2 linked regions of the Sus scrofa genome follow. The protein of the gene in region 1 binds, or shares a complex with, the protein of each later gene. Links are inferred from orthologs where the notes say so. Each region holds a gene or a part of one and is shown on either strand. Other genes may lie near its edges.

Region 1 (3,511 bases):
TTGATTTGTTCGTTCTCTGTACTATCACTCACTAACTTAGTTTATGGGTAAGCATCCTTAAGTAAGAAGATCGCAACTTGTTTTCTGTTAAGTGAGCTGTTCTTTAGACTCATTTTTAGTTGGGATTTAGAGTTCTTTGGAAGTCATACTATCTGTTTAAAATGTCTTTATTAGAGGTGATAGTTTTGCCTCAGATTTAGATGTCAATTGTTTGCTCATTCTCAGCTATCCTTCAGTGATTGCTGTTCTGTCAGTGTGACTTCTGTAGTTGATTATTAGTCTCATGATAGAAACATTTTGTTTGGAAGTTGCAGGTTTAGTTGTTGCAGAGATAGTCTAGTCTAACTAGATATTAATTTATCCTGAACTTTGCTTTCTTGGTGATTCATAATCTTACTTTTGTTTTTAGCTGGGAAAACTCTTCAGATATTTAACATTGAAATGAAAAGTAAAATGAAAGCCCATACCATGACTGATGATGTCACCTTCTGGAAATGGATCTCTTTGAATACCGTTGCTCTTGTTACGGATAATGCAGTTTATCATTGGAGTATGGAAGGAGAGTCTCAGCCAGTGAAAATGTTTGATCGTCATTCTAGCCTTGCAGGGTGCCAGATTATCAATTATCGTACTGATGCAAAGCAAAAGTGGTTACTTCTGACTGGCATATCTGCACAGGTAACATTTTTAGTTTCTAATAAAGAAAATGTCTAGAGAATTAATGTGCCCAGAATGTAGTTTATTTTGAAATTAGGTCTTCTTTGCAAATCTGGCTTATTTTAGAAGATGTTTTTCCCCTTTCTTTTCATTTTTAAAAACTAAAGGTTGCTGGCTTAATTCCGGTATACTAACGTATATTTCAGAGTATTCTTACCAGGTGTTCTTAGGTCTTATTTGCATATTGAGTGGATATTGAGTTCCTGTATGAATGATTTGGAATTTAGTGTGGATATTTACTGCAGAATGAGTATTCCTGTATCTTTTTTCTTTTTTTTTTTAAAGGTAATGTAAAGAGATGGTTGTATATAAGGCACATTTTAAACATTCATGTTAAGCTTTAATAAGATAATGTTTGCAGCTAAATTATGAATTAAGAGGTATCAAATCTACATTAAGAGACTAACCAGGAGTTGTAAATCTGTCTAAAGATAATAAAGCATTCCAGTTGTTACAGTAGTTGATGAATCTGGGAGTTGGTTCATTGGTTCCCCAAACTTTATTCTGTTTGATCTTTTGCAGCAAAATCGTGTGGTGGGAGCTATGCAGCTATATTCTGTAGATAGGAAAGTGTCTCAGCCCATTGAAGGACATGCAGCTAGCTTTGCACAGTTTAAGATGGAAGGAAATGCAGAAGAATCAACTTTATTTTGCTTTGCAGTACGGGGTCAGGCTGGAGGGAAGGTAAGTTTTGCCTTTGGAAATTATTTGAATGAGAAATTGTCTTCTGTCTTTCTGCTTCTAATTGATTTGTCATCTAGTTTCAAAGTCTTGTTAATTTTTTTACCATTGATTTGTGGTGACTTAATTTGTTTAAATTCTGTTTCAGTAGTGATGCTTGTCTGAAATGAATATTCCTTATTTTATACAATTTTTTTGTATCAGCTGTTTATACTAAGCTTTATTTTCATTGTCTTTACCAAAGGCCTTAACTCGATGCTTTTCACCTTTAACTGTGCTTAAGAATCAGTACCATGGAGTTCATTTCGGGCTCAGTGGTTAATGAACCCGACTAAGATCCATAAGGGTTCAGGTTCGATCCCTAGCTTCGCTCAGTGGGTTAAGGATCCAGTGTTGCCATGAGCTGTGGTTTAGGTTGTAGACTCGGCTTGGAGGTTTTATAGCTGTGGCTGTGGCGTAGGCTGGCAGCTAGAGCTTTGTTTCAGCCCCTAGCCTGGGAACCTCCACATGCCGTGGGTGCAGCCCTAAAAAACAAAACTTAAAAAAAAAAAAAAAAAGAATCAGTACCATGGCTAAGATGTACGTTTGTGTGCCTACTGTTTAGAGAGTGATTCAGTAAGTAGAGCTCATAATGTCTATTTTAACTGCTCTAGGTGACTAGGTAAAATGTGGACCGCAATTTCCGTACTATTGCCTTATTAAGTCAGAGCTTCTCAACCCTGACTATGCATTAAAATCACCTGGACAGGAGTTCTTTTCGTGGCTCAGTGGTTAGGAACCCAACTAGCAACCACGTGGTTGCGGGTTCGATCCCTGGCCTCGTTCAGTGGGTTAAGGATCTGGTGTTGTCATGTGCTGTGGTGTGTAGGTCGCAGACTCAGCTCAGATCCCGCGTTGCTGTGGCTATGGTGTAGGTTGGCAGCTACAGCTCGGATTGGACCCCAGCCTGGGAACCTCCACATTCTGCGAGTGCGGCCCCTAAAAACAAAATCACCTGGACACTTTTTTGGGGGGGGGCGGTTTGCCTTTTCTAGGGCCACTCCTGCGGCATATGGAGGTTCCCAGGCTAGGGGTCGAATCGGAGCTGTAGCCGCCAGCCTAAGCCAGAGCCGCAGCAACGTAGGATCCAAGCTGCGTCTGCGACCCACACCACAGCTCATGGCAACGCCGGATCGTTAACCCACTGAGCAAGGCCAGGGATCAAACCTGAAACCTCATGGTTCCTAGTCGGATTCGTTAACCACTGAACCATGACGGGAACTCCTCACCTGGACAAATTGAAGTACTTAGTATGTTAGGGTTTTTAGTTGCAGACAACAGAAACAAGGTCTGGTTGATTAGAGCATAAAAAATTTAATGAAAGGATAATGAATAGTTTACAATAGCCAGGAAGGCTTAGAACCAAACTTGGAAAATTGGAAGGATTAGGGGAGAATGTCAACAGCCAGGGCCCCAGCCACAAGTCCTGCTACAGAACTCTGAGGACCTGCTCTTGCTGTGATTGCAATGCTGGATGCCAGAGTTAACACTGCTGCCCCTGGAAGCTCAGTTTGACGTTCTCATTGCCATAGTAGAAGCTCTGAAGTCTTAATATTTTTCCATGCTAAGTAGTTTTTAAAAATCAAGAGAGAGATTGTTTAAAATATGGTAATTGATAGCCTCTGAGCTGGGAGGAGACATCTACACAGAGGTAGAATTCTGCCTACATTTCAGAGTAAGAATCCTCGAACCAAGTATTGCAACTACCAGCCTCTCAATACGACAAGGATAGAAAACACAATTCAGATGTTTAGATCTGAATTGAAGGAATTTAAACAAAAAGACAAATAGGTGTTAGAAATTAGATATATTACGACATAAAGCTGTGACTTTTTTGAAAACTCCTGGAAAAAACCTTGCATATCATTTTTATAGTATCTGAAAACCAGTTTATAAGTCTTAAGCCTACTTGATATAATGTGCTATATATTTTGTAGTCTGCCATGGTATTTTAGAGAAGACATAATTTTTTCAGTATGGCTACTCGTCCTAATTAAGGATGAGACCTTATGACTTTTTGGAACTGAATTATTTTTTTAGTCCATTCCTGACATGACTAAGCAAAATAAAAAAC
Region 2 (4,014 bases), on another chromosome or scaffold:
CTGGAATCCCCTCCCTTTTTGACCCCTAGGAGTCTTACTGCACGCGTGTTAATTCGGGAGGTCCCCTTGACCCCAGCAGTGATTGAAGTGGTCATCTTATCTTTCTACTCCAGCAGAGCTCAGGTCCTGCAGTTAACTTTTTCCTTGAAGTGTCAAAGAGAAACAAGTCCCAGCTCTTCTCAGTCCAGGGGCCCATTTACCTCCTAACTCAATTACACTGAGAGAAAGAAGGCAGACAGGGAAGTGTACCTACTACTCCTATTCTTACGGTGATAGAAACCTGAACAGTGGTAGTCGAAGCGGTGGGGCGCTAGAGGGAGCTCTTGGGTGATGGAAATGCTTTTTATCCTGATTGGGTGGTGGTTACACTGTTGTTTACACTTAGCAAAACTCATCAAATCTTATACTAAAACCACTATGCTTTTCAATGCTTAAAGTTTTTACTTCTATAAAAAAAAGTATGAGGGAAAAAAGGCTGCTAACATTGAAAAGGAACATTAAAAGATGTAGAGAGAAATATGGAGTGTTAATAAGCCCTTTCTTGGAGTTCCCTTTGCAGCTCAGTGGAAATTAAACCGACTAGTATTCTTCCCTGGCCTCGCTCAGCGGGTTAAGGATCCGTTGGCATGAGCTTCATGCAGGTCGCAGACAAGTCTCAGATTCCACCCCACCCCACCCCCGCCCTCGCTGTGGCTGGGGTGCAGATCAGCAGCTATAGCTCCCATAGGGCCCAGAGCTCGGCAACCTCCATATACCACACCTGCGGCCTCCGCCCCCCTGGAAAAATAAAAAACAAACAAAAATACAACCCTTTCATTAAAGCGTTAAGCTTTTCTAAACGTTCATATTCGAATAATTCTTCTGGGCTTATATAATTTTAAAAAGATATTAAAAAGTCCTGCAAACTCTAAATTCCCTTTTCTTCTTCTGAGCTCCTTTGTCCTTTCTGATACCCGCGAGGCCCTAGGAGTTCCAGGGCGAATTCGGAGTAGCCCGGGGAAAACACGAGCCACTCCAGCTCTCCCACGGCCTCAGCGACCCCCACTGCTCAGCCCCTCAACTAGAGCTTATCCGGAAGCATCCATTGATTCCGCTCATGCCCTCCCTCCGAACCGTCCGTTCCCCTTTCAATCAATTCAAAAATCGCGGGAGCGAACCAATCGGAAGCCTCGTCGGAGGGAAGAGGCGGGCATTTTTACCGGAAGCATTGGTTAAAATACTTCCAATCAGAGGCTTGGTGCGGGAAGTTTGAATTTTGCTGAGTCTTGGGCTCAGGGCGTTTCTTCTTCAGAGGTGGCGGTGGTCTCTTAGGCCCGGAGAGTTTCTTCACTTTTAGTTTGGTCGAGGTTTCTGCGTTAAAATCTGCCTCAGGTAAGTGGACGCTGGAGAGTTGAAGGGAAGGCGCCGGTCCGCTTCTTTCTAGAAGGTCAGCACTGGCGGCTACGAGCTGGACGCGCGCGGCTCAGGGGAGGCGCCTCTTACGACGGTGTTACCTGTCTTTCCCAAGCTGATGTCACAGTCCTCCAGAAGAGTAAATATTTGTTCCTATTATCTCTGTAGCAGTCAACATTTTACCATCAGGGCGTAATTAGCATTTGGCCCGTCGTTATTCCTGTAGCTCCTTCCAGATTCTGTGACAACTAAAAATGCCTCAGTTGACAGCCTCTAAGCAACCAAGACTGAGGCATTCTAGGCTTTCTGGCTGGAAGAAACTCCAGTCAGCCAAAGACTGAACTTGGATGTACTGTGAAGAAGCCAGGCTCCCTGGTTTGGGATTCTAACTGCTACCTTTCAGCTGCGCTCATGTGAGCAGTTAATTTACCTCATCTGTATAACGGTAATTATACTAACTACCTTTTAGGGTTTATATGATAATTAAATATACTTTCAGTTCTGTATATGGTGCTATGCTGTATTTTAAAATAACTAATACATATTTTTTAAAATTTAAAAATCTTTCTTAGCAAATTGATATTTTCAGCAATTGGAAAATCTAATTGTAGAGTTCTTCATTTTTCAAAAAAAAAGAAGCACAGTCCTTTGTCACAGGAAATGACAATGTTATTAGCATCCAGGTCATTTAAAAAAAAAATATTCGTTGACTGCTTTAAAATCATGTAACATTTTAATTTGTTGCATTTCTTGTGCAATTTTTCTTTCAGGATTCCAGTGGACTTTCTTAGTTGTTGTTATTGAAGAGTATAGTGTGCCTATATCTTTTGAAACTTTCTAATGGCATATCCTCTGTTTTTGTTGTTGTTGTTTTTTAATCTGACAAGACTTTTCTTTGGAGACTCAGCCCTCATTCTCCAGTTAGGCTTGGTTGTTCTCTATACCAGCTGTATGGGTGATGCCTGTAGACTTTCCACTTTTCTTTATTCCTTTCCTCAGCTGGACCCATGGTTTCTTGGAACTCAGGCCATCGTCTTTCTTATTCTTTCTACCTATATAATAGGTATCTTGTGTGTTTGTTTTGGTTTTCGGCTTGAGAAGAAATGTCAGCCTTCCTGCATTCATCACCAGGAGAAAGTTAGGGAAACTGTTCTGTATACTGTCCTTCACTTTTTTTCCCTGTTTTCATCTTTACTTCATACTCTGTTTTGCATCATTCTCTCTGGTAAGCCTGGAACTTCTTGTTTATATTCCAGACCTTGGCTTCCTGGGCTTCGCCATCATCTGTCATGCAAGTTCTCATTCAGAACCCCAAAATAGGTTGTAGTATCTTTTTAAAATTTTTTTAATTTTTAATTTTTTTAATTAAAGAGTTTTTTTTTAGGGCCACATCCATGACATATGGAAGTTCCCAGGCTAGGGGACAAATCAGAGCTGCAGCTGCTGGCCTGCACCACAGCCACAGCAATATAAGATCTGAGCCGTGTCTGCGACCTGCAGCACAGCTCATGGCAATGCCCAGATCCTTAACCCACTGAGCAATGCCAGTGATCTAACCCGAATCCTCATGGATACTAGTTCACAGCGGGAACTCTGGGTTGTACTGTCTTTTGATAACCTCTTTCCCACTCTTCAGTCACATGTTTATTCTTTTTTGTATTTTAACATTTTTACTGATGTGGGATAGGATGTGAACTAGAATCTTAATTTTTTAAATAATAAAAATGAGATTCCATGTAAGTTGATTTTTCTCTCTTTTTCCTAATAGGATGTCTTCATCACATTTTGCCAGTCGACATAGAAAGGATTTAAGTACGGACATGATTAGAACTAAAATTGCTCATAGGAAATCATTGTCTCAGAAAGAAAACAGACATAAGGAATATGAACGAAATAGACACTTTGGTTTGAAAGATGTCAACATTCCAACCTTGGAAGGTAGAAGCATTCTTGAATTACATGAGACATCTCAAGAGCTTGTTCCAGAAAAGTCCGGTGTCAAGCCAAGTAAGTAAAGGTCTCTTGTAATTTTCAGTGCCTTGAAGAGTGAATAAAACTTGGTTTACTATCTGAGCTTAACAAAAACTCTGACCAGGAGTTCCCACTGCAGCACAACAGCATTGGTGGCATCTTTACAGTGCCAGGACACAGGTAAGCTCCCCATCTGGCAGAATGGGTTAAAGGATCCAGCGTTGCATCAGCTGCTGTGTAGGTTGCAACTGTGGCTCAGATATGATCCCTGGCCTGGGAACTCCATATGGCCCCAGGGCAAGTGGGGGTGGGGACAAAAAAGAAAAACAAACAAAAAACAAAACTCTGGCCAGAAGAATGGAAACTATTCTAAATAACTTGGTGTTTTCTACAGCTAAATACCGCCTATTCCGAGTAAAGGCTGTGACTGTCCCTTGAGCCATTCACCTATGGCATATTATAACACTTTTTAGCTTATACTGCCTTACAGGATTCCTAAAGTTCTTACTTCTAGAACTTGTGTAAGATAATTATTGACAAGACAAACTGACAAGGGACATAAAATTAGAACTGATTGAAGTACAAACAAAAGGATACTTTACCAATGGGGGCATTTCTTGGAAAAGCAAAGAATTAATCCTTGTAGTTTGG

Evidence for each region.
Region 2: the proteins of CLTC (region 1) and DLGAP5 are in contact, whole or in part, in a crystal structure (PDB 7ZX4), measured with the Homo sapiens proteins. The link is inferred for Sus scrofa from reciprocal best matches to the Homo sapiens genes CLTC and DLGAP5. Residues at the interface, in NP_004850.1 of Homo sapiens: Val50, Arg64, Pro65, Ile66, Ser67, Ala68, Leu82, Lys83, Ala84, Thr87, Gln89, Phe91, Ile93, Lys96, Ser97, Lys98; in NP_055565.3 of Homo sapiens: Gly833, Asn834, Leu835, Ile836, Thr837, Phe838, Ser839, Pro840, Leu841.

The regions. Positions count from the first base shown.
Region 1 is NC_010454.4:35,873,376-35,876,886, forward strand, and holds part of CLTC (clathrin heavy chain 1), read left to right. Parts: intron 1-409; coding exon 410-678; intron 679-1,239; coding exon 1,240-1,401; intron 1,402-3,511. UniProt on the Homo sapiens protein: Clathrin is the major protein of the polyhedral coat of coated pits and vesicles. Two different adapter protein complexes link the clathrin lattice either to the plasma membrane or to the trans-Golgi network.
Region 2 is NC_010443.5:184,547,225-184,551,238, reverse strand, and holds the start of DLGAP5 (disks large-associated protein 5), read left to right. Parts: upstream 1-1,210; 5' UTR 1,211-1,371; intron 1,372-3,160; 5' UTR 3,161-3,161; coding exon 3,162-3,399; intron 3,400-4,014. UniProt on the Homo sapiens protein: Potential cell cycle regulator that may play a role in carcinogenesis of cancer cells. Mitotic phosphoprotein regulated by the ubiquitin-proteasome pathway.